2 linked regions of the Astyanax mexicanus genome follow. The protein of the gene in region 1 interacts with the protein of each later gene in a pairwise test. Links are inferred from orthologs where the notes say so. Each region holds a gene or a part of one and is shown in the gene's direction. Other genes may lie near its edges. The genes, in order: ccdc57 and tmem100a.

The links.
Region 2: the proteins of ccdc57 (region 1) and tmem100a interact in binary tests that used the Homo sapiens proteins (3 or more experiments, as listed by UniProt). The two-hybrid records come from large-scale screens. The link is inferred for Astyanax mexicanus from reciprocal best matches to the Homo sapiens genes CCDC57 and TMEM100.

What each region holds. Positions count from the first base shown.
Region 1 is NC_064422.1:34,932,418-34,941,977, forward strand, and holds the start of ccdc57 (coiled-coil domain-containing protein 57), read left to right. Parts: upstream 1-6,038; 5' UTR 6,039-6,142; intron 6,143-7,502; exon of another isoform or gene 7,503-9,560. Other genes in the region: csnk1db (casein kinase I), read left to right, coding at 478-648, 1,373-1,521, 1,652-1,820, 2,209-2,351, 2,878-2,910. UniProt on the Homo sapiens protein: Pleiotropic regulator of centriole duplication, mitosis, and ciliogenesis. Critical interface between centrosome and microtubule-mediated cellular processes. Centriole duplication protein required for recruitment of CEP63, CEP152, and PLK4 to the centrosome.
Region 2 is NC_064410.1:16,763,691-16,773,123, reverse strand, and holds the start of tmem100a (transmembrane protein 100), read left to right. Parts: upstream 1-5,678; 5' UTR 5,679-5,807; intron 5,808-7,870; coding exon of another isoform or gene 7,871-8,380; intron 8,381-9,433. Other genes in the region: octapeptide-repeat protein T2-like, read left to right, coding at 7,871-8,380. UniProt on the Homo sapiens protein: Plays a role during embryonic arterial endothelium differentiation and vascular morphogenesis through the ACVRL1 receptor-dependent signaling pathway upon stimulation by bone morphogenetic proteins, such as GDF2/BMP9 and BMP10.

The sequences.
Region 1 (9,560 bases):
ATATCATGATCATCATGTTTTACTGAGGTCATGTTCAGTTATTGTACAATAAATCGACAATGTAATTATTGTGACCGGCCTATTCCTAGTGCTTTATTTTGTATAATGTAGCTGTTTTAAACTTGCACTGATAGTCCAGATATGGCATTATAACTGTTAAGCGCTTTTAAGTTGGTTCTCTTATAACCATATGGATAAAGTCAAATAACAAATTGGCATTTTTTTTATTTCCTAAATTCATGATAGGATTTTATTTCTTCTCTGAATGCAGTTAGGTGGAATCACTATCCATGCTTGAGTGGTCCTGTGTATATTTTTATCTTATTGGGAGCACCGCTGTGTGTGCACATGTGCAAATACTGCCTTCCCTTGACATGACTGCCTGCTCATGCGTACTGCAGCAGAGGTCTCTGAGCTCTTTCCTCTAATGTGCTTCCTTACAGTAGTGTGTATGTGTGTGTGTGTGTGTGTCCACAGAGCAGTCCCGGCGTGACGACCTGGAGTCTTTGGGCTATGTGCTAATGTATTTTAACCTGGGCTCACTGCCATGGCAGGGTCTGAAAGCTGCCACAAAGAGACAAAAATACGAACGCATCAGCGAGAAGAAAATGTCTACTCCTATTGAAGTTCTTTGCAAGGGCTACCCATGTATGTATTGACTCTGATGCTGCTCTTTAGAACCTGCATGTCTGATGCTGCATTCCATTTTAACTTTCCAGTCGGAAATTTAAGCTGTAATGCCCTCAATAGTGAAAATTCCTACTACTTTATAAGTTTAACAGGGTTCAATATTCAAGATGGCTGCACTGCATATGAACAGTAGTAAAAGTAAATCGCTTCAATAAGTTTCAATTAAGCTTGCACCAGGTTTTCACTATGGTTTATTCTGCTACTCAGCCACAGACATCTGTGCATAATTGAAGCGATTTTGGCCAATTGGAGCACTTAATTTTCACCCATCTCACGCTTCACTCAGAGAGATTAATGATGAGTTTGTCTGAGTAAGTGGCCACTCATGCGGTCACCCTCTTTATTGCGTGACTGGTTAGCAAGGACTCTAATCCAGCTAGCTACCTATCGAGCCATGCTTCATTTGATATTTAGATGTGCAAAATACTTAGAATACTAGTGTAATATGGTATCAACTGGCATCTCTAATCTGTGACGTTAAAATGTGAAAATATTGTGGTTGGATTAGTCATAAAACACTGGTAAAAGATTGACAAACCAGTAATGACATAATTTCCAGCTGTCATTCAACTTCCGAGTTAAATGGAATGCAGCGTTATTCATTGTTTAAAAGAAAGACGTTCTGTATTAAAGCTGTTAAAATGTGCAAATCACTGAGTGATTTATGTTTGCCTTCCTCCAGCTGAATTTGCCACATACCTCAACTTCTGCCGCTCACTGCGATTTGATGACAAGCCTGACTACTCGTACCTGAGGCAGCTCTTCAGGAATCTGTTCCACAGACAGGGTTTCTCATACGACTATGTGTTTGATTGGAACATGCTTAAGTTTGTAAGTAATTTGTACTAATAATCATTTTCTGCTTTTTGTGAATGAAGAGCAGAGCATTTATTAAACTGTGTTCAGTACAGTAGTGCCTGTACAGCGTTTTAAGACGGTCTGTTGTAACTCTCTCACTAAGGGTGCTAACCGTGCAGCAGAGGAGGCTGAAAGAGAGAGGAGAGACCGGGAGGAAAGGTTGAGGCACAGCAGGAATCCAGCCCCTAGAGGCATTCCATCAGCCTCAGGCAGACCCCGAGCCACACAGGATGGTGCACCCCCAACGCCCCTTACTCCAACCTCACACACAGGTAAACACAGATACTTTTTCACGCTTACCATGCATTGTGAACTGTATTGCTGAATCTGTAATATTAGAGGTATGCAGTCTCAGTCGAATGCCAACCAATGACTAAATACTGAAAGTGAAAAAGGTATATTTTGATATTATCGATTAGCTTCGTCCGTCCTGTTAATGTTTAACTCGTAGAACCCAAGACAACATGCCAGTATTCTAGGCTTCTTACAATTCCTACATCATTATTGTGTTTATTAAGCAAAGTTAATTTGGAGTTTTTTTTTATTTTTTTTATTGGTAACAGCTTAGTTTAAGGGCGAGAAAAAACAATGGTATCAGGTTGGTGAGTGTGTGCAGTATAGTACTACACCTACTAATTTTTCTAATCTCTTATTTGACAGCAAACACATCCTCACCGCGACCTGTAACCGGCATGGAGAGGGAGCGTAAAGTCAGCATGCGGCTTCACCGCGGGGCCCCAGTTAATGTGTCCTCTTCTGACCTGACCGGCCGACAAGACACCTCCCGCATGTCCACGTCACAGGTACAGGCTAGCCCTGCTCCTGAAAAGCCCACAGAAGGCCCTGGCACACGCACAAGGCCTGTCTAAAGGCTTCAGCATTTAGAAAAACCCTTAATAAACGAAAATAAATGAAGGAAACCTAACATCTGACTGTGTCTAAATATGCCTTATCATGTATATAATGTTTTGAAATGCAAGAATGCTCTTTTTTTTATTGCACTTTATAATAATTATAACAAATGTGCCAGAATTTGTCACAGCAGTGTTTGATATCACTGCATATTTTAGTAAATGTCAATCATTTGTTGGACAAATTTTGCTTTATAGGCATCTTTGTTGCAAACATAGGAATTGTGTATCAGATTATATCTGATGTCAGAATTAGTCATAATCCATTGCTGTACACACACCAGATGTCATTTGTATACAGTAATACATATACAGAATGCTTTTCACTATTACACAACTCTTCTCTGACGAACCGCCCACCTACAAATCAGTCATGGAACGAGAAAGGGTGCTATAATGTTCTCTTTCTTCACCTCAGAATAGCATTCCCTTCGATCATCACGGCAAGTAGCTGCTCGCAATGTGCTTGTGTGATGGCAGCAGCACCTGGTGAGTTTTACACATTACATATCTCAGATTTCTGTTTGCATTTTATTGCAATCAAATCATACCGTTCTTTAATTGTGATCCTGGAAATGCACAGAATGTGTGATTTTTGGATTCTGTTTTTCTTGTTTAAGATTCACTCTTCATGTCCCAGAAGCCTCCACTCTGCAATACGGAGTGCAGTGGTCAACCCATCTGTACGCGGCTGATTGATGGCTCTGCTGTTCAAAAGCGGATAAGCAGGGCTATCAGTCTCTCTTCAATCGACATAACCAAAATGGTTCAGAACCAACTTGACCTCTTTAAAGGTCTCCTTGCTCTCTCTCTCTTCTCTTCTCTTCTCTTCTCCTGTCTTTGCTCTCTCTGTTTTCACTCTGGTAAATACACTATGTACACACACACACACACAGATTTGTGATCACTTCTATCAAAGGAAATGTTTATAGACAGACCCAGCAGAGACTGCATCAGCCAGCCAAACTCCAGTGTCCTCGACACTGTTGTCTTTCTTCATACTAGTATGTTGTCTGTACATCTGCACTGCTTTTCATAACCTTTTCCGTCCATTACGTGTTTTAAGGGTTTTTCCCTAAGCTAATGTATTTAACTTGTTTAACTGATTCCTTTTTGTTGTACTGTATTTTTTAAGCTTTCCCATTTCAAAGTTCCTTTCTTATAACATGTTCCATATCTGGGCTTGTTATAATTTTATCTGACCAATTATAATTATTTTATTATATTTTGATAGCCCTTTCTTTAACTGGTGGGTGGTATAAAATGGGTTCCTATTGCATGGTCTTACTGGTGTTTTCGTATGGACAGACCGCTAAGGGGCCAAAATCTCATTGTTTCTTAGTTATGAAACTAATCCGTCACTGCATCATGTGTTCTGCAGGACCATGTGAAGCTCACCATCCTGTCTAGCTTTCTTAACTGCTGTATATTACTGCCTCTCCCTTGTTGTATCACTTTTTTCTATTTCCAAGCTGTGAAAATTGTAATATATCCATGTAAATGTTTTTCATTTTCACTTAATAGAGACTATGAACTAGCCACAAATCACAAACTGTCCTGGAGCATTAGGGGTTTTCTTATTTTGCACAATGCCAATAAAATAAAGTGCTGGACATCAGAAGGATTGCCAAGTATAAATCTAAAGCCTGATTTTAAAACTTGAAAGGAGCATATTGGAGGTTTCAGAAGGGCAGGGGAAGGAACATGCAAGTTTCAGCTTGATTGTTTGTAGATGCTTTTTTGACTAAAGTCAACCCATGCTGAGGTTGTCTTTAGTGAGATGATGCTGCCTCAAAGCAGTCCAGCAGTGTGAAAGGTGAGGAGGGAATCCTGTCTAAAGAATGTTCCAGCACTGATGTGGCTCAACAGATGTACCCAAAAGGTAATTCTGGGTTCTATGCATCAAGCTTCTCAGGGAAAGTGTTCTGATCTGAGCTGCTCTTATTGTTTCGCCACTTTGACATCCTAATTAATAACGGTGGATTGGAGGGAGCTGCTTTTTGATCAGTGTCCTTGCATTGAGATGTCTGATGCGTATGGGCCTTGCTCATACTTCCTTCTAATGTACCCGTTACATCTGAAGAGAGCAGATGTCTCAGGCCGGAATCGGTGAATAGCGTCACGCAGGTCTTTGAAGCCCATGGCCATTTTGGGCTCCACACTATTGGTCTTGTGAAGTCATGCCAATCTATGAGCCCTACTAGAATTTGTATCACTGTATTTGTGCACCTTTTTGTGTACATGTGTAAATAAATGAAATACTTGTATTAACGGATGTCTTTGGGTTTTATTTTATTTAATTTCTTTTTCCCCATAAAGCTGCACCATAGATTTGTTGTTCTTGTACGTGTGGCGGGGGAAAAATAATCTAGTTAAATATAATTTGGAATTGCTAGTAAAGTTTGTGGGCATTATTGCTTTGGGATAAGATATTAGATGAACTTATATAAATTATAAATTATACTTATGGAGAAATTATACTTTTCTGAAGGTAAACCTGTGCCCTGTCTGCCCTCTAGTGGTGAATTCAGGTAATTTGGAATATGAGTTCAAGAGTCCATTTGAAGTGTTTTATTCAGCTGTTTTGACTTGTTAAATCTGAGTTTTTACAATGAAAACAACACCATCCATTTTCTTCATAAATATACAAAAGTAAATATACAGCACTTCTAATAAATTTGTTTAATCGTCTTTTAACAATTGAATCTTATCCAGATTATTTTTTGTTTATATCAACAACCCTGCTAAAAAACAATCATTCTTTCATACCAAGAAAAACATAGTTCTATTAATAATTAAAAGCTTAAATAGTGCAATAAAATTCGTGTCGATGGATGGAGAAGTAAACTTTCAATCATACCTGTAGGTGGCATCATTTTTCAACTAAAAGTTTTTCTGTTGAAAGAAAGGAAAAAAAAAACACTTGTCAAACAGTGTCTGTCAAAAACAAAAAAAACTTAAACTGACTACTTTACAAAATATAGGAATCTTCTTTTTTAATGATTTGTACTACTTTAAAAAGACCTGAATCACATTTGCAAAAGATTTGAACTGCTTTTCAGAATACTCATCTCTTTTCAATAGCTCCAGATCATGTTTAAAAACCTGATTCAAACTATACTTTGCTTCTACTGGAGATAAAATCATTTTGAACACTGATTCTAATCACTACCAAATATTTAAATCTTTAAAAAAAATTCAAACAACTTTTTAAAAAACTGTTCTTGAATCTATGAGAAGACCGAACCCCTCTAAAGGGCACAGAGCACTGCAAAAATATTTTAAACAGTGATTAAAATCTTATTTAAATTGTATTTGAATCTTCAACAGTGAAGATAGAACAAAGAGCACTTGAACGTTTACTCAAGTACATGTCTAGGTAGCATCCACCATCTTTTTTAACGATTAGTTTCCGTCCCAAATCACCTCCGCTTGCTGCTGTTCACCTAAAGAGTCTACCCTCTGGTGATGTCAACAACACGCAGTGCAATTGGGCGAGAGTTTTATAAGGGCGCGCGATTTAAAGAGGCACGCTATTAGGGACACAGCCAATTTCTCAGCCTATAGTCCACCGCGCGCTCTGCACGTAACATACTAGCAACATAAACACCACAGAGAAACTGAGACAAACGAGAGAAAAGTCCTGCTCTGGGTCTTCATTAAGGCAGTATCTGCACTTAAGAGTAAGTAGCTGCTATCTAGTCCTTTCAAACACCATTTTTGTCCTCACGTGAAGATTTTGATTGTTTGAATTTACGATTCCACCTTAAATACTGCTGTGGCGTCGCTCAGGCTTTAAATTTAACATATTTAGCTTTTAAGGTGAAACAGAACATTCATATAAGAATACAGGTGTAGTTTTGTGTGGACAGAAATCTTTGCACAACATAAGCAGAAATAAACTCTTAAAGCACTTAAGATTAGTACAGACTCAGTGTAACACGTATGCCATATTAAGGTGGGATAAAAATGTTATGAAACTAAAAACTTTGTGGCTTAGTAGTAAGAAATTACCTACTCATACATGAGCACTCTGCAGGTATAAGGAAGTTAAATGTAAGACTTTTTAAGTCTTTATAATACCACTGAAAAAAAACTAAGGCCATTTTCAAAATTACAAAATACACCAAAATACATTTAAAGGCTTTACAGTAAATTTGTGAATATTGGATTTTAAACAATATTTACACAAAAATTAACTTGCAAATAAAATCTTAACATTGCAACATGTGAAAATAAAAGCAAAACTGTTTACTGTCTAACACTTTCAAGACCCTCAGATTTAGATTGTTGGGTGGCCTATGCCTTAAACGTTAACAGGTACAGCTCTAGATTGTGTATGGTAACAAGAGCATTGTGTGTTTTGGCTAGCTTTTAAATTTGCTGTATAATATGTTGTTTTGGACCCCAGACTATTAATGATATTATGTGATATGTGCTGCATTAGCTGGTGTAATGGGTTTTTCATTTGTGTACTGTAGACATTATAGTAAGCAAGAAAGATGCTGTAAGGATTGTACAACTGTGTTTTACTGGTTTACACCCTGAAAAAAAAAACATCACCCAATTGTCATTGTATAATTCTCACCCTGGAAAACATTACTGCAACCTGCAGCTGCTGCTGTATCTATTGTAATATGTTTAGATATAAGAATTTTAAACACGAAAGCACCAAATAAAGAAGCGATGACTGCAAAGTTACCCTCTTTGTAATCAGAAATAAAAATTTGATTATATTAGATTTTCTACACATAGAATTATCAGCATTATCACTCAGACCTTATTACTATAAATAACATTCTCATTTATGCTCCATGTTGTTTATAACACAGTTAATGCTTTGATTTTTTTATTCTTAAAGATACAGCTTTGCAATATTCTTAGCAGTCTGTAGAGCAACTGACAATAGATAGTTCATTACAACTGGAAGGACATGAGACTTGACTTTTACTTGTAAACATCCTTGCCACTCAGGGTGCCAGATGTAAATAGAGCATGTATAAAGCTACACAGAAATGTAAAAATAAGATGTCCACAAGTGAATGCAGAAGTATATTTATTTCTAAAATAAACTCCAATCTATAGGTTTTGTGTAAAATAATCCAGGTGTAAGGCACAGCCAATCGCATTTTTTAAAGCATACACAAAGAACACCATGTACACTCTGCTGGTTAGCAAATAAAAGTCACACCAAACATACTGGTGACCAGTGAAATGTCTCTTGGCTGATACAAAAAAACTCTGAAAAATACCAAGTATTTAACATACCTTTAGTGCAGAGTTGTCTTGAAGAGTGACAAATGCACTATAAGAACAAACGTTTTGGGACACCCTTATTGTTTCTTCTGAAATCTTATCTTATTATCTGCCTTTTGCTGGTTTTTGTTTGTAGCTGTCTGTACTGCTCAGAAAAGGCATTCCACTAGATTTTGGAACACTGCTGTGAGGATTTGATTGCATTCAGTGACACAAGCATTAGTGAGGTCAGGAAATTGGATTGTCCCCACCCTCACCTTAGTACTGGTTAAAGCACCACTACTCCAGAGAACAGAAGGGTGGTGGGCATTAGGCATAGCGCCAGCAGATTCAAGTTATCTGAAAGTTAAAATCTATTGGCAGTACTTCTCTACATGGTCTAGACAAGTTGTGTATGAGTGCATTTGCACCTCTGTGTCAGCAATGTGTGCAGCTTAAAGTAGCTGAATGCATTCATAAGAATTTGTTGTCCACAAACAAATAGATATATAGTGTATAACGGATGACATCTTCAACTAACAACAAAATTAACTACAAATCATGTCATGTTTAAATACTACACTTTGAAGAAGATAACTACACAGCTGCCATAACTGATGTCCCAAAGTTATTTAAGTTGGTACAGAAAAAAAATGAAATAAGTAATGTGCAATAAAATAAAACTAACAGTTTATCACATCCACACAGTCAATCACACATCAATAAAAATGCTGGTACCAGTACCAAAGGTGACTTTTTTTTAAACAGCTATCTGTAGCTAATACATCACAAAAATACCGTAAGCTCTCTATGCTCTAGAGGTGTAGAGGTATGACCAGTGTTTCATGTTCCCGGCCCTCAAAACCCTGGTTCGTTTTTTTCTGTAGTAACACACCTGATTTAGCTCATAAATTGCTGGACAACTAATGAGTTAAATCATGTGTGTTGAGAGGGGTGAACACATTAAACACCCCAATACTCCAAGGTTTGCTCTTGGAAACATTGCTATAAGGTATACATTCATCTGTGTGAATATGATCCCATGTTTAAAATCATACTTATCTCTCAAAAAAAAAAAAAAAAAAAACAGTACTATCTGTGCTTCACTCTCATCTACCCCAGACAGAGTACCTGTTACACAAATCTGGATTAACTGAGACAAACAGGACATACACCTACATTTAAAACACAATAACAATGGACATATTATGTGTTCTCATGCTCACTCAAGGACAGCTTAGCCACAGACAGTTCTTTACAGTATACCTAACTGACACACGTTATACTGTACAGTACACAAGCAACACTGTGTGCCACAGACAATTCAACATGTAATAAATACAATAGCGCTGATGGCCCATGAATGATTACTGGCCAAAGTTGTGGTTTCAAATCTAAAACGAGGTGCTAGACTTTAATCCGTTTTAATCTTTCCCCTGCACACGTAGTAATCCATGTAGTCTCTTTAAATAGCACCTTATCCCTTCTTTACATACTAAGTTCTTAAAGGGTGGGCTCAGCCTAGTGGATTTAAAATGCACACTTGCCACTTAAACTTTTTTCTGTTTTTGGCCTGTAAATACATACAGTTTTAAACATTCCTTGTACTTAATCTTTAATTTATACTGTTTCTTTTGTTCGATAGACTGTAATTAATTTATTTACAACCCCAAATCCCACAAAGTTGGGAAAATTAAGTATAGAAAATTGCCGATAAAATAGTGTACAATTCCTTTTTATCTTTATTTCATTCCAGACAGTATTAATCCAAGATTTCTTATGTTTTTTTCTGGTCAAATTTATTTAATTTGTTAACAAACATCCATTCTTGCAATTCTGGCCTGCTCCACACTCCAAACAAAAGTT
Region 2 (9,433 bases), on another chromosome or scaffold:
AATTCATAAGCCCTTCTTTGAAGTGCACACCTTGGTGGCAAGGTTGAAATGTAAAAAATAAATTTGCCGTTTATTTTTGGAATGCTCATCACTGCCGAGTTAGTAATCAGGTGTGACATGCCTGCTCCTCCGTTGTGACTGAACACAGTTCACATTAGCGTGTAAATCATGATTGTGTTGGCCAGCATAGTCCAGGGGTGGGTTTCCCGAAAACGATCAATCTTAGCGGATAACGAACGAACTAACGAATGACGTGTGTAAAGAACGAGCCAGTTCTGCGAGTGTTTCCCAAAGAGCTTCGCAACGTGAAAATTAACGAACGAGGTTAAAGAACATCTTTGTTGACTCCTCCCCCGAAACAGCGCGCTCAATCGATCCACAAATATCGATTCAACACTGCCAATATGCAGTATTTATTCACTATTACACCCTAAAAACGTAGAAATGTGTTGTAATTAACAACATTATACTCCTAAAGATACATATGACTAAATAAATACTCGAAAATCTAATCTATTTTAAAACATTAAACTTATTTTTTACATTTTTAAAACTATTATTGTTAATATATATTATATAAATATATATTATACTAATATTATTAACAGTAATGTTGATAGTAATATTAATTTATTATTATTCTAATTTTTAATATTATAAAAATAATATAATAATACATATGTTCCTGTGTGTGTGTGTGTGTGTATATATATATATATATATATATATATATATATATATATATATATATATATATATATATATATATATATATATATATATTACATTTTAAACCAACAGAATTATGTTTTGTACTTTATACTGTGAAGCTCCAGCTCAACCTAAATCACCATCTCAGTTGGGTTTATGTCAGGGGATTGTCAAAGCCATGCACCTTTTTGTCTACTAATTCCATTTGCGTCAATTAGTTTTCATGGTTTTAATATTAATCGACAATGTAAAAAAAAAAAAAACATGGAATGAGACGTGTCCAACTTTTGACTGATATTTGCGAGCTGACACACCCCAGAGTTTGCCCAGATGAACTTGGTGACTTTGCAGCTTTGCTTAGACCGTGAGCATCATCTGCAGGAATTGACTGATTGCATTTCTTGCAGCATTAATGTCAAGACTTCTATCATCGCTAATCTGGATTTAAATAATTTACTCGTGGGTTTAATTGCCCAGTTAGACTACAAGCCACAGTTGGCATTATAATATAATATAATATAATATAATATAATATAATATAATATAATATAATATAATATAATATAATATAATATAATATAACTTATTCACTCATTTACTCACTCGTCAACCGCTTTATCCGTTAAGGGGTGCGGGGGGGGGGGGGGGGGGGGTCGATGCTTGGTGGCTGGAGTCTATACCAGCTGGCATCGGGCTGAAGGCAGTATACACCCTGGACAGGATGCCAATCCATCACAGGGCAGACAGACACAGACAGACACACAGACACATTCACTCACACCTAAGGGGCAATTTTTATCCGACATCTAATTAGCCTGAACTAATTTCTTTGGACTGTGGGAGGAAACCGGAGCACCCGCAGACACGGGAAATAATATAATATAATATAATATAATATAATATAATATAATATAATAATTATATAATATAATAATAATTATATAGTAATATAATTGATTATAATTAATAGTAATATAATATAATATAATAATATTAATAATTATATAATAATATAATTGATTATAATTAATAGTAATGTAATATAATTGCTTCAAACACGGAAATTATAATTTTTCTTCCACAAAATTGGCGGTCCCTGGTGTTTAAGGTGCTGAACTGCAAGTCGAGATCCCCTAAAGAAGCTCGTTAAAAATAACGACTGGGTGAGAGCACTCGTTAATCTGCGATCGAGTTTACGTAGTACTTTAGTTACGCACGGGTTTGGGAAACACTCTTTAATTAACGATCAATCTTAAGTACGAGTTAACGAAGTTCTTAGCCTTACGAAGCTTTCGGGAAACCCACCCCAGATCTATTAATTGACTAAATTAGCTAGCCTATTAGCTTACCTGTTCAGGAGAAAAGTTGCCAGCGCTGTGTCGGTCTTGTAGTCTTTTTAAGCTCGAAATCTACTGTACCCTTAGAACTCACTGCCAATATTCACTCTTGTTTAATTCATTCTTTAGTTGCTAAACTTTTTTTACACATGCCAAAGGCTTTCTAGGCTGTGTAGAAGCTAAGGTTTTAGCTGAACTCTGCTTGCTATCTTCCATGATGTAACACCGATTGATGGCTGGCCACCTCAGGGGTGGGGTAAGTGTTGGGGAATGAGCAGCAGGTGGAGTCAGAGGACAAAACAAACAGATACCAGCCAAGATCTGCACAGTCCACATAGGGACATACTGGCTAAAGTGCTGCTGCAAGAGCTGCCAGTGCTTTAACTTAACATGTTTCTTTATTATCTGATGATACATACTGATCATTTTATCATTTACTACAGAAAATTAATTACAAATTGGTCCTTTAAGGTTGTTTTTCATTATCTACATTAAAAGCTGTAATGCAATTATTTGCTGTAAGGGTTAAAGGCCACATATGAAGTTGTATTGAGACAGAGGGTCAGAAGTTTGAAATGATGCTGGGATGAAAAACAACTGTAGCTGCGTGCAAAGCGCAACCGGAGGAGCAGCGACTGGCGCTTCTCGTGCAGAGACTGAAAATGGATCAGAAACTAGTTTTACACCTAAATTAACAAGATTTCACGAGGTCTAATCCACAAATATACTCCGTTTTGAACGTTTTGAAAATGTTTGGAGAGCTATTAAATAACAAATCAAATTGTTATCATATCACAGCACTAAATTTTTTAAGACCTTATTCTCATGTATCCCAGATACATGTTTTAAGTGATATTACTGTATCATTTTGGAGTAATTGGATACCAAACTTAGGAAAAATGTCTATTCGGTTTTGTATAAAAAAGATTTCGGAGTGCTATAAAACCAAAAAAATCAAATTGTTATTAAATCAAAACATGACATCCTTAAAGAATACCTTCCATACTATTAATGTCATGCATTTCAAGTGATTGTATTGTATTATTTTGGAGTAGTTGGATACCAAACTTAGGAAAAATGTCTATTTGCTTTTGCTTTTTTTTTTTTTTTACTTTTGATTTCGGTGTCCTATAAAACCAGCAAACCAAATTGTTATCCAGTGCCACCAAGACAGTCTTAAAGAACACATTCCATACTATTAATGACATAAGTAAGAAATTATATTACTGTTTTATGCTGGAGTAATTGGATACCAAACTTAGGAAAAATGTCTATTCGGTTGTGCATAAACCACATTTCAGAGTCCTGTAAAACCACCAAATCAAATTCTTATCCATTGCCACCAAGACAGTCTTGAAGAACACATTCTATACTTTCAAGGACTTGAGTAACAAGTGATATTACCGTATAATTTTGGAGTAATGGGATACAAACTTAGAAAAAATGTCTATGTTCTTTTACATAAACCAGATTTCAGAATCCTGTAAAACCAGCAAATCAAATTGTGACCAAATGCCACTAAGACAGTCTTGAAGAACACATTCAACATTATTAAAGACAAGAGTAACAAGTAATTTCACTGTATCCTTTTGAAGTAATTGGATACCAAACTTAAAAAAAATGTCTATTCGGTTGTGCATAAACCACATTTCAGAGTCCTATAAAACCAGCAAATCAAATTGTTATCCAATGCCACTAATAATATCTTGAAAAATACATTCTATACTATTATTGACACAAGTATCAAGTGATATTACTGTATTATGTTTAAGTAATTAAATACCAAATATAGGAAAAATGTTGATTTACTTTTGCATAAACCAGATTTCAGAGTCCTATAAAGCCAGCAAATCAAAATTGTTATCTAATGCCACTAATAAGGTCTTAAAATACATTCTATACTATTATTGACACAAGTATCAAGTGATATTACTGTATCATTTTGGAGTAATTGAATACCAAACTTAGGAAAAATGTCTATTCGGTTGTGCATAAACCACATTTCAGAGTCCTATAAAACCAGCAAATCAAATTGTTATCCAATGGCACCAAGACAGTCTTGAAGAACACATTCCATACTATTAATAAAATGAGTAACAAAGAATATTACTGTATCATTTTGGAGTAATTAAATACCAAATATAGGAAAAATGTTGATTTACTTTTGCATAAACCAGATTTTAGAGTCCTATTAAACCAGCAAATCAAAATTGTTATCCAATGCCACTAATAAGGTCTTAAAAATACATTGTATACTATTATTGACACAAGTATCAAGTGATATTACTGTATCATTTTGGAGTAATTGAATACCAAACTTAGGAAAAATGTCTATTCGGTTGTGCATAAACCACATTTCAGAGTCCTATAAAACCAGCGAATCAAATTGTTATCCAATGGCACCAAGACAGTTTTGAAGAACCCATTCCATATCAGTAATGACATGAGTAACTATTGATATTACTGTAAAATTTTGGAGTAATTGGATACCAAACTTAGAAAAAATGTCTATTCGGTTGTGCATAAACCACATTTCAGAGTCCTATAAAACCAGCAAACCAAATTGTTATCCAATGGCACCAAGACAGTCCTAAAGAACACATTCCATACTATTAATGACATGAGTACCGAGTGATATTACTGTATCTTTTTGGAGTAATTGAATACCAAACTTAGGAAAAATGTCTGTTCGGTGTGCATAAACCAGATTTCCGAGTCCTATAAAACTAGTAAATCAAATTATCCAATTAATCCAAAATGATACAGTAATATCCTTTGTTACTCACGTCACTAATAGTATGTAATGTGTTCTTCAAGAATGTCTCAGTGGCATTGGATAACAATTTGATTTGCTGGTTTTATGGGACTCCGAAATCTGGTGTATATCACCAGGGGTGTAGCAGCAAATGCTGGGCCCTGTACACTCTCAATGTCAGTGGGCCCCTATCCATGCCAGTATACAAGGAAGGTGAGCGAAAAAAAAAAATCTGGATTTTCATGGGCCCTTCTCCCTACTCGGGCCCTGGGTAGTCAGGTCCACTTTTCCCCCCACTACCACACCCATGTATATCACTTCAAACATGTATCTGGGATACATGAGAATAAGATCTCTAAGAATTTATTGCTGTGATATGATAACAATTCGATTTGCTTATTTAATAGCTCTCCAAACATTTCCAAAACGTTACACTGTTCTACAGATAAGCAGTGGTCTTTCTGGAGTATATTTGTGGATTAGACCTCGTTAAATCATGTTTATTTAGGTGTAAAACTAGTTTCTGATCCATGTTCAGTCTCTGCACGAGAAGCGCCAGTCGCTGCTCCTCCGGGTGCGCTGTGCACGCGGCAACCGTAAAACACGGTTTAGACGCGCACTCCAGTTTTCGGTGTAGATAGCGCGACCGAGCGTTTTCTAAGTGCAGATGGCGTGACCGCGGTCTTTTTTTTTATTCTACTACAACCTCTTACACCCCCGACACACTCTCTTTCACTCTCTCTGTCTCTCTCTCTCTCTCTCTCTCTCTCTCTCTCTCTCTCTCTCTCTCTCTCACCCACACCGTTCTCTCACACACTCCTTCCCTCCCTCACACACTTACTAAGACACACTAGCCCTCCCTCCCTCCCTCTCTCCCCCCTCTCTCCCTCTCTCTCTCTTTCTTTCTCTTTATGAGGGGACTTCAAGTTTCTCCACAGTTCAGTTCAGAAGTAAGTGAAGATCAGGATGGAGACTTCCTGAGAGGAGCTGAAAACGCTGAGCAGGTAAATGACACACACACACACACACATTGGAACCAACACTCTCTTAGGAGTCTGTTACCCACCTCTGTCCTCTCGCTCGCGGTTCCGTTTGTTAGAAGTTGTTTTCTTGAGCTCTGTAACCGGTGTTCTGTCGATTTGTGCTACCCTGTCAAACTGTGCTACCCTAGTGTATATTTAAAGGTAAAAATCCCAGAAAAGCACCATATTTTAAAAGAATTAATTAATATATAAGGATACAGTTAAAAGGGAATAGGCGTGATTATATTTTGTATTTGTATTACATTGCTCGATTATTACTTGTTATTATTATTATTATTATTATTATTATTATTATTTACTGCCATTTACACTCCATTCTACAAAAAAAAATACATAATGACAGAGGAGGGATTAAGGTTGTTGAATATGCACCACCTAAAATTCAGTAGAACTACCACAAAACATGGGAATATAAAATACATTTGGGTCCGCGCATGCGCACTTGTTTTGAGAAGCCCATTTCGACGTGTAGCACATGTCGACACCCGGTACCGAATAAACACCGCTATGCAGGTCTGTAGACGCTCTGATCTACAGAAATGTAGGTCGTAAATTGGGGTGACCAAAACTCAGCGTCAGGGACATATCTAATACTAACGTTTAAATAATTATGTCAAGGTAAGATAGTAGTCATGGTGACTAAAATTCAACGTCGGCCAAACGTCTGCTAATGATTGTAGCGCAAAAATCATTGATGATTGTTGTCTGTTTGGAAAATATGGTTTTTAGTAAACTAAGTTTGCATTTTGATATCAATCCTGTGTTGGAGGACAAAAATATGACAAAAATCTTCAAAACATCTCACGCGTCATTCAGTGTCATATTGATGTAAAATATCAACATTTAGGCTGTTCTTATTTCATTAGGTATGCTGACTACCTGTAACTGTAGCAAATGTAATGTAAAAAACGTTAAAATACCTAAATTAAATATCTACAGTCTAACTTTGGAGCTTGATGTCTGACGGATATGTGACTTTTATTCTAACTAAAATTCAAAATGATATTGTCATATCATAATATTGAGTTTTGCACTCAGCTTGATTTATTTTTTATTGCAAATTGATATCCTGGGTCCACACAACACCAAAAACACGACACGCAAATGTTTGCAGACATCTTTTCTAAAAACAGATAAACATTGAACTATGCCTAATGCCAGGCATGGGTATAAAATGAAAAGGGTTTTAGTGCACTTATGTTCTCTGGAATGATGGTGCTTCATCCAGAATTAAGATGAGTCCTGACCTTGCTAATGCTCTTGTCACTGAATGCAATCAAATCATCACAGCAAAGTTTAAGAATCTAGTAGAAAAGCTTCCCTGGGCAGACTTTTACTCAAACAAAAGCAGGATAAACTCTTTTTTAACACCATTGGTTTTGGAAAAACAATTGTAAACAAATGTTCCAATACTTTTATCTGTGTTGTTAATTTTATTTTCAGTTTATTATATGTAATAGATCATATTATGACACAGATGATTTCACATTATGATAGTAATTTTAATTTTGGTGTTATTATAAGCCTGTATTGTGTCTTTTTATTGTAAAAAAATCTGTTTTATACTTCATGATATGGCAGGATCACTGTTACTGTTGTGCAAGTGTTGAATTGTTTGCATCCTATACATGAGCGTTGAGTTGTCTTCCGCTTTTGGTTGATTTAATATTCGATTTAAGATTGAAAATCGCCCAGATTGCTCTGATAGGCTCTCATACTGCAGTGTATAGGTTCTGGGAAAGCGTGCACTTACCCCCATGGTTTTCATGCATATTGATAGTGGCTCCCTGATGGCTACAAATCAGGATATTGTATATCTGCTTGTGCATAGTGAGTGAGTGACGGATGTAGAGTGTGACTGGGGTGTATCTATGCCTCTTGACACGATGTATCGCAATGGAAAAATATGACAAAGCCAGAGCAATAGTGGACGAGAGGCAGTGGAAAGGGAGCAGAGAGAGAGTGGGGAGGAGGTGAAGATGGAGAGGCAGTGAAGAGGGAGAGGGAGCAGAGAGGAAGCAGAGATGGAGAGAAATTGGAGAGGGAGCGCAGCGGGAGCAGAGAGGGAGAGGGAGCAGAGAGGAAGCAGAGAGATAGAGGAATTGGAGAGGGAGCTTAGCGGGAGCAGAGGGAGAGGGAGCGGAGAGGGAGCAGAGAGGGGGAGAGAATGGAGAGGGAGCGAAAGGGGGACGGAGCAGAGAGGGGAAGGAGGCAGAGAGGGGAAGGGAGCAGAGAGGGCGAGGGAGCAGAGAGGGAATGGAGAGGGAGCGGGGAGCAGAGAGGGAGAGGAGGCGGAGCGGGGAGCAGAGAGGGAGAGGGTGAGAGCGATTGGAACGGGAGTGGGAGCAGAAAGGGAGAGGGAGCAGAGAGGGGGAGAGAATGGAGAGGGAGCGAAAGGGGGACGGAGCAGAGAGGGGAAGGAGGCAGAGAGGGGAAGGGAGCAGAGAGGGCGAGGGAGCAGAGAGGGAATGGAGAGGGAGCGGGGAGCAGAGAGGGAGAGGAGGCGGAGCGGGGAGCAGAGAGGGAGAGGGTGAGAGCGATTGGAACGGGAGTGGGAGCAGAAAGGGAGCGGGAGCTGAGAGTGATAGAGAGTGGAGAAGGATTGAAATAGAGAGATTGTAGAGGGAAAGGGGAGCAGAGAGGGAGCAAAGCGGAACGGAGAGGGGGCAGAGAGGGAATGGAGAGGAAGCGGGGAGCAGAGAGGAAGCAGAGAGGGAGAGGAGGCGGAGCGGGGAGCAGAGTGAGAGGTGAGAGTGGGTGCTGAGAGTGATAGAGAGTGGAGAAGGAGTGGAATAGACCAGAGAAGGAAATGGAGCAGAGTCGGAGCAGAGAGGAAATGGAGTTGGGAGAAAAGAGCAAGAGGAGAGGAAATGGAGAAGGAGAGGAAGCGGGATGCAGAGAAGGAGCAAAGAGGCAGAGGTAGCAGAGAGGAAATTAAGAGGAATCGGAGAGGGAGTTTACTCGGAGCAGAGGAAGAGGGAGTGGACAGCAACAGGGAGCAGAGATGGAGCAAAAGTGGAGAGGAAGCTGAGCTGGAGAAGAGAGAGGGAGCAGAGCGAGAGCAGAAACAGAATGGAGAGGGAGTGAGGAGCAGAGAGGGAGAGGGAGCAGAGAGGCAATGGAGAGGAAGCAGAGTGGGAGCGGTGAGGGAGTGGACAGGATGAAGGAGTAAAGATGGAGTGGGAACAGAGATGGAGAGGGAGCAAAGTGGAAATGTGGAAAGTGAATAGAGAGTGTGGGGAGCAGAGAGAAAGTGGAGAGAGAGCAGAGAGGGAGTTCACTGGGAGTGGAGAGAAAGAGGGAGTGGACAGCAAAAGGGAGCAGAGATGAAGCAGAAGTGGAGAGGGAGCGCTGAGGCAGAGGAAACGGAGAGGGAGCGAGGAGCAGAGAAGAAGCGGACAGGGAATGGAGAGGGAGTGAGGAGCGGCAAGGAAGCAGAAAGGGAGAGGCATCAGAGAAGGAGTGTAAAGGGAGCAGAGAGGAAATTGAGAGGCAGCAGGGAGCAGAGAGGGAGAGGGAGCAGAGAGGCAATAAAAATGGAGCAGAGAGGGAGTTGACATAAAGAAGGAGTGGAGATGGAGTAGAAA